Cricetulus griseus: one gene and its partner. The protein of the gene in region 1 purifies or fractionates together with the protein of each later gene. This does not show direct contact. Links are inferred from orthologs where the notes say so. Each region holds a gene or a part of one and is shown on either strand. Other genes may lie near its edges. The genes, in order: Katna1 and Katnbl1.

The links.
Region 2: the proteins of Katna1 (region 1) and Katnbl1 purify together in Homo sapiens (affinity purification with mass spectrometry; 3 studies listed by BioGRID and IntAct, counting the BioPlex papers as one, with this or other methods). This does not show direct contact. The link is inferred for Cricetulus griseus from reciprocal best matches to the Homo sapiens genes KATNA1 and KATNBL1.

What each region holds. Positions count from the first base shown.
Region 1 is NC_048595.1:280,357,691-280,361,512, reverse strand, and holds part of Katna1 (katanin p60 ATPase-containing subunit A1), read left to right. Parts: intron 1-1,110; coding exon 1,111-1,232; intron 1,233-3,822. UniProt on the Homo sapiens protein: Catalytic subunit of a complex which severs microtubules in an ATP-dependent manner. Microtubule severing may promote rapid reorganization of cellular microtubule arrays and the release of microtubules from the centrosome following nucleation.
Region 2 is NC_048599.1:65,946,455-65,950,276, reverse strand, and holds part of Katnbl1 (KATNB1-like protein 1), read left to right. Parts: intron 1-2,143; coding exon 2,144-2,262; intron 2,263-2,955; coding exon 2,956-3,006; intron 3,007-3,094; coding exon 3,095-3,184; intron 3,185-3,822.

The DNA of each region.
Region 1 (3,822 bases):
CAGTTGGAAGGGCCATATGGGTGCTGGGAATTGAGCGTAAACTTCTGGAAGAGAAGTCAGTGCTCTTAACTGTAGAGTGTTTTCTCCAGCCTCCTCAAAACAAAATGGTTTTTTTGTTTGTTTGTTTGTTTTTGTTTTCAAGAATGGGTTTTTCTGTATAATAGCTCTAGCTGTCCTGGAATTCATTCTATAGACCAGACTGGCCTTGATCTTGACAGAGATTTGCCTGCCTCTGCCTCCCCAATGCTGGGATTATATAGGTATGTGCCATCAATGCCAGGCCAGAACTGAAAATTTAATTTAATTTTTACTTAAGTTAAATCTAAGTGGATACACATCTACTTATTTATAATTTCTTGGTATGTATGTATGTATGAAGTGATTTACTGATAGTCATTGTCTGACTTCTGAGTACAGAGTCCCATATATATCCCTTTATTCTTTCTATTTACAATTATAAACATTTCCTCTATATTAATTTAGAACTACATCAGATTGTTGTAATTTTTGCTTTTGCTAGCCAATGTTATTTAGAAAACTCATAGGGAAATAAAGTCTGTCATATTTACATAGTTCCATGTTTTGTTTCCTGACTTGCCCGTGTTTCAGGGTTGATAAAATTCTGTTTCTTATCTCAAGTTTTTTTTTTTTTTTTTGGAGGGCGGTGTTGGTTTGGTTTGGTTTGAATTTGTGAGGTGGTCTTATAGTCCTCTTGTCTCTAATTCTCAAGTGCTGGGGTTCTAGGCATGTGTTCCCATCCCCCCCTCTGAGAATGCCTTGAAATCCTCTTCATTTCTGAAGGCTATTACACTGGAAGGATCTTGAGTTTTCTTTGTGCACTTGGGAAATACCGCATCACTTTCTTCTGGCCTCTTTGGTTTCTTGGAAAAATCCACATTGATTAGGATTGGTTTTCCTTGTCCAGGTGTGGTGGTAATACCAATCATTTGGGAGGCAAGAGGGTCAGAAGTTTGACTTGTGTTAGGTTTGTACCAGGAGATCATTCAGTAAACAAAATCACTTTGGTCTGATCATTGTTTATGACTCACAGAAACAAAATACAGAATTTCAGTCAATTAAGAGCTCTTCCTTTTTTATCTCCTCATGTAGAACAAATCACCTGCTGCAGTTACAGAACAAGAGGCAAATAAATTTGACAGCACTGGATATGACAAGGACTTAGTAGAAGCTTTGGAAAGAGATATAATTTCTCAGAATCCCAATGTTCGTTGGTAAGTCACATCACAAGATAATTGATAGTTTTGGAAACAGAAAATAGACAAAATATGGGCATGTGCTAAAATCTGTCTTTGAAGACAGAGCTAGAGGATATGCAGTGTAAGTGGGACATACAGTAAAAACTGAGTCACCACTGAGGCTGTACCAGTATGTTGTCCTGAGATTTTTATTTTTGTTTGTTGTGAGACAGGACTCCCTGTAGAGCTGACTGGCTTCAAAATGGCTATGGTAGCCAGCATGGCACTGAATTTCGTCCTCCTACCTGAACACTGAGATGACAGACACACATCACCATGACCAATTTATATGGTGATGTTGAGGACTCCGGGGCTTGTGCTTGCTATTATTTTTTGCATTTTTAAAGTTTATTATTTTATATGGATGGGTGTTTTGCTTGCATGCCATGTGTACAGTGCCTTTGGAAGACAGAAGAAGGAGTCATATCCCTTGGAACTGGAGGTATAGATGCTGTGGCAGCTGAGAATCAAACCTGGCACTCTGTGAGAGCAGCCAGTTGCTCTTCCCCACTGAGCCATTTCTCCAGCCTCTCTTCGTTTTTGGTGTATAAGGTGTTAAACACAGGGTCTCATACATATATGAGGCAAGCTGTCTCCCAACTGAATATCCCCAGTCCCTTGAGGTTTTTTGTTTTTTGGGACAGGGTTTCTCTGTGTAACAGTCCTGGCTATCCTGGAACTCACTCTGTAGACCAGACTGGCCTTGAACTCATTGAGGTCCACCTGCCTCTGCTTCCTGAGTGCTGGGATTAAAGGTGTGTACCACCACTGCCAAGCATGATTCTTTTAAATTGACAAGTCAAATACAAAGTGGGACTAAGCACACAGTTTCATCTTTTGGGCCCCCTTCTAATGTTGAGAAGATTGATGTTTTGTTTTTTGTTGTTTGTTTTAAACTTAATGTCCCGAAGTGGTGGGTCACACCTTTATTTTCAGCACTTGGGAGGCAGAGGCAGGTGGATCTCTTGAGTTGGAGGCCAGCCTGGTCTACAGAATGAGTTTTAGGATAGCCAGGACTGCACAAAGAAACCCTGTCTAAAAACAAATAAACAAACAAAAGCTATTTTTATTGTGTATGTATGATGGGGTGGAGCATGTGCTGTGGCACAAATTGGAGGTCAGAGGACAACTGTGTGGACTCTGTTCTCTCTCCCATATTTCTGTGGGATCTGAGGGGACAGGTCCTCAGTGTTGTTCAGTAACCACTCTTACATACTGAACCAGCTTGCCAGCCCTGGGTGGAGGTTTCTGTGCACACATCTTGTTTATGTCTATAGCTTATGGTAAATGTTGCTTTTATTTGCTTTTAGTGCAACATTCTCAACTTTATATCTAATAAAGGATATGTACCCTTTTTCAGCATGCTGTAAGGGTTCACTTTTCTACAAGTTGGTTATATTTTGTTACATACTTTTAATTAAAATATGGATGGTTAATAGGTATTTTTATAATATTTAAAGTTTCTAGTAATTGATATTTATACAGTAAAATCTATTTTCATAGTAAAATTGCTACATACACTAGTAGTACTGGTATGTATTCTAGTGGCTGGGGAGAACTTCATAATGAAGTTCATCTTTTAACGTTGGTGTCTGCATCTTAGAATTGGAAGCTTAACAGCTGTATCTACTGTGTGCCCTGTTTATTCTTTTTATAGTGGCCATTCTTCTAAGCCATTAGAGTTATGGGATATAATATAAGATGCTGTCAATGATGATTCAGGTTCAGCATCCCTAACCCCTAATCTGAAAAATCAGAAATCCAAAAATGCACCAAGATCCAAATTTTTTAAAATTTATTTTTATGTGAGTTGGTGTTTTGCCTGCATGTATGTGTGGTGGTGTCAGATCCCCTGGAACTGGAGTAACAGACACTTGTTAGCTGCCGTGTGTGTGTGTGTGTGTGTGTGTGTGTGTGTGTGTGTGTGTGTGGTGTGTGTGTGTGTGTGTGTGTGTGTGTGTGCTGGGAATTGAACCCAGGTCTTCTGGAAGAACAGCTAGTATTCTTAACTGCTGAGTCATCTCTCCAGCGCCCTCAAGTTTTTTTTGTTTTGTTTTGTTTTCAAGACAGGGTTTCTCTGTATAGCCCTGGCTATCATGGAATTAGCTCTGTAGACCACCTGCCTCTGCCTCCTGAGTGTGCTCCACCATTGCCTGGTTATTGAATATATATAATTTTTTTTTAAGATTTTATTTATTTATTATGTATACAACATTCTGCTTCCATGTATATCTGCACACCAGGAGAGGGCACCAGATCTCATAACGGATGGTTGTGGGAATTGAATTCAGGACCTCTGGAAGAGCAGCCAGTGCTCTTAACCTCTGAGCCATCTCTACAGCCCAATTGAATATATTTTCAAGTGTAGAGCTAAACCACTTTATTCTGTGGGAAGAAGCTTCCTCCTAAGTGCTGGATTGCATCATTTTTTTTTTTCCAGCCTAGGGTGTTGAGCCACATTTTTAAGCAAGTAAATACTTTATTCTTAGAAAATTTGGAGAGTTTTAGATGAAATTAATCTGAACAGTTTTGGATTAGAGAATGCTGAAGTGGGAAGGTGTATGCA
Region 2 (3,822 bases), on another chromosome or scaffold:
ATAACAATCCCAGTTCCCTTCTCCCTCCCATCCTCCCCCACCATCCCCCCAACTAAAACCCTACCTATCACATATCCTTTCTTCTATTCTTCCCCTGACTCAACCTTTCTGCTCCCTCATGACCTCTGCATCCTTCCTCTTCTTCCCTTCTCATTCTCATAGCTCCCTCCCCCCTCTTCCCGTGCTCTCAATTTGCTCAGGGGATCTTGACCCTTTCCCCTTCTCCAGGGGACCATGTATGTCTCTCTTAGGGTCCTCCTTGTTTACTAGCTTCTCTGGCAGTATGGATTATAGGCTGGTAATCCTTTACTCTATGTCTAAAATCCACATATGAGTGAGTACATATCATATTTGGGGTTTTTTGTTTGTTTGTTTGTTTGTTTCGGTTTTTCGAGACAGGGTTTCTCTGTGGCTTTGGAGGCTGTCCTGGAACTAGCTCTTGTAGACCAGGCTGGTCTCGAACTCACAGAGATCCGTCTGCCTCTGCCTCCCGAGTGCTGGGATTAAAGGCATGCACCACTAACACCCGGGATATTTGTCTTTTTGTGACTGGGTTACCTTGCTCAGAATGGTTTCTTCTAGTTCCATATATTTTCCTGCAAATTTCAAGATTTCATTGTTCTTTTCCCACTTAGTAGTACTCCATTGTGTAAATGTACCACATTTTTCTCTATCCATTCTTCAGTTGAGGGGCATCTAGGCTGCTTCCAGTTTCTGGCTATTATAAATAGTGCTGCTGTGAACATGGTTGAACAGATGTCCTTGTTATATGAATGTGCTTCTTTTGGGTATATGCCTAGGAGTGGAATTGCTGGATCTTGTGGTAGACTCATTCCCATTTTCTTGAGGAATCGCCATACTGATTTCCAAAGTGGCTGTACAAGTTGGCATTCCCACCAGCAGTGGAGAAGTGTTCCCCTTTCTCCACATCCTCTCCAGCATAAACTGTCATTGGTGTTTTTGATTTTAGCCATTCTGACAGGAGTAAGATGGTATCTCAGAGTTGTTTTGATTTGCATTTCCCTGATGGCTAAGGATGTTGAACACTTTCTTATGTGTCTTTCAGCCATTTTAGATTCCTCTATTGAGAATTGTCTATTTAGTTCTGTACCCCACTTTTTAATTGGATTGTTTGGTGTTTTGGAGACTAGCTTCTTGAGTTCTTTGTATATTTTGGAGATCAGCCCTCTGTCAGATGTGGGGTTGGTGAATATCTTTTCCCAGTCTGTGGGCTGCCGTTTTGTCTTGCTGATATCTTCAACAAATGGTGCTGGCATAATTGGATGCGGACATGAAGAAGACTGCAGATAGACCCAAGCTTATCACCATGCACAAAACTTAATTCAAAATGGATCAAAGACCTCAACATAAACCCAGAGCCACACTGAACCTATTAGAAGACAAAGTGGGAAAAACCCTTGAATTAATTGGTACAGGAGACTACTTCCTGAACATTACACCAGTAGCACAGACACTGAGATCAACAATTGATAAATAGGACCTCCTGAAACTGAGAAGCTTCTGTAAGGCAAAGGACACAGTCAGTAAGAAAGGTTTTTAAAAATATAATTTTTAACTTTTTTGCCATTGTCTAAAGCATGATTTGGAAGACACATTCCAGGTTAGTAGTTGTAATTGTTTCTGGAGAATGATGTCAGAGACTTTGGCCAGTGGAGTATTCACTTTTTGTCTTTAATAGTTTTGAGCTAAGTTTTCATACCATGTATTACCTTGTTTAAAAATACATTTAGATGGTACATTTGTAACAGGACAGAACTCAGGTTTGTGCTTCTTCCCCTTGCTGCTCATTTGATAATTACTGGCCTACATGCTTACCTTTTCCTGCATTCACATGCAGGAAATTAAGTCTTGGGTTTATGGGTTAGCTAGAAATAATTTAACTGTATAAATTAAATGAATTTTTGAAAATTGGTAACAAGGGGGAGAGAGAAAAGGTCTTGTTCACGTCGTTCATTTGCGGTATTGAACTGCAAACTGTAATATTCCTTTATGTGGGCCAGTATAAGGAGTTGGCTTTGTATAATTTAAAGCTGTGTCTACCAGACTGTTTTCATTAAAAAAAAAAAAAAAGTCTGTGTCATGTTTCATTGTGGTTTTAATGCATTAGATGATTGCCTTTCAGGTTTCTCAGGACCACGAGACAATGGCCCAAGTTCTGTTCAGCAGGAATTTGAGATTGAATGTAGCTTTGACTTTCTGGAGAAAGAGAAGTATAAGTGAACTTGTAGCTTATTTAGTGAGGTGAGTGTGACTTTTTGATCTTTATTTAACATGAATAATTCTTAATGATATATGAGAAGTGACTCTTTTAAGAAGTTTCTATTGGTTAAACATTTAAACCATTGTATTTAGCATTCAGAGAGTCAGTATAGCTTAAATTACATTCATCACCAATTTAAGTGTAATGAAGATACAGAAAATTGTCTTATCAGATTGAACAAAGCTGTTACCTTTTCTAATTGCGATTCTTATCTGTAAAACTAAGTGGGAAATTTGCCATTAAAAAAAAACAAAAAACCTTTGGGAATTTTAAGTGTCACCTCCTCATTTTATTTAAGTCTCTCAAATACTCCCTTACTGATGCCTAATTGATGACTCATTGAGTACTGTCTTTGAAAAGATGTAATTCATTCTTTTTTATCTGTCTTCTTCTTTTCTCATCCTCTGTAGCATTTACCATTAGCATCCAGCTCTATGCGTTTTTACTTGTTTGTCTTTCTTTGATCCACTGCCACCTCCTGCAACCACTCAGGCACTGGAAAACAAGCCCTGTCTGCTTTCCCCTTTATATCTTCAGTACTTTATCACTTCAGTGATAAATACTGAAGTTATTTTTTAAATATTGAATGCCTCCAAAGGAGGATACAAATTGTAATATGAATGTAAGAAAGGACCTCGGCTCTCTAAGCAATGGTGTCTGTCTTGTACTCGCAGGATAGAAGACCTTGGAGTTGTGGTAGATTGCCTTCCTGTTCTAACCAATAGGTAAAAACAGTATTTTTTCAGAAAAAAAAGTAAGCTTTAAAGAAAAATTATAATCAGTTCATATTTTATAACTTAGAATTTCTTTTAGTTTACAGGAAGAAAAGCAGTATATCTCACTTGGCTGCTGTGTAGACTTACTGCCTCTAGTAAAGTCTTTACTTCAAAGCAAATTTGAAGAGTAAGTACTAATCTAAATCTCCCCTTTTCCCTTCCAACGTTCTTGAATTTTTGTTTTGTGAGTACATGGTAGGAAACTGGTCTCCATGGCATATATATGATATCTGGTTTTTTAATTTAAAAAATCTGAACTACATTTTATTTATTGTGACAGAGGAAATCATAACAACTTGTAGGAGTTGATTCTGTCTTCTACTATATGAATTCCTGAGATAACTGGGCTGTCAGGTTTGGTGTCAGGTGCCTTCACCCACTGAGCCCTCTCTCCATCCCTATTTTTTCTATTCCCAAGGAGTTTATAGTATGATTAGGAAAGAAATGTAAACAATAAATGATAGTTGCAAAGATTCTACGAATAGCTGTGTGTGTTCTCTGGTTTTATGAGGAAGATTATAAAAGTAATGACGTATGGACTGGGGTGGTGGCATGCCTTTAATCCCAGCACTTGGGAAGCAGAGGCAGGTGGATCTCTGAGTTTGAGGCCAGCATGGTCTATAGAGAGTTTCAGGACAGACTCCAAAGTTACAGAGAAACCCTGCCTCAAAAAACAAACAAAAAATGAAATACATTTTTCTTAAGGGGGAGATAGGGTGTGTATATGTGGAGGCGTGTTCGTGGGGGAGGTGTATCATCTTGTCT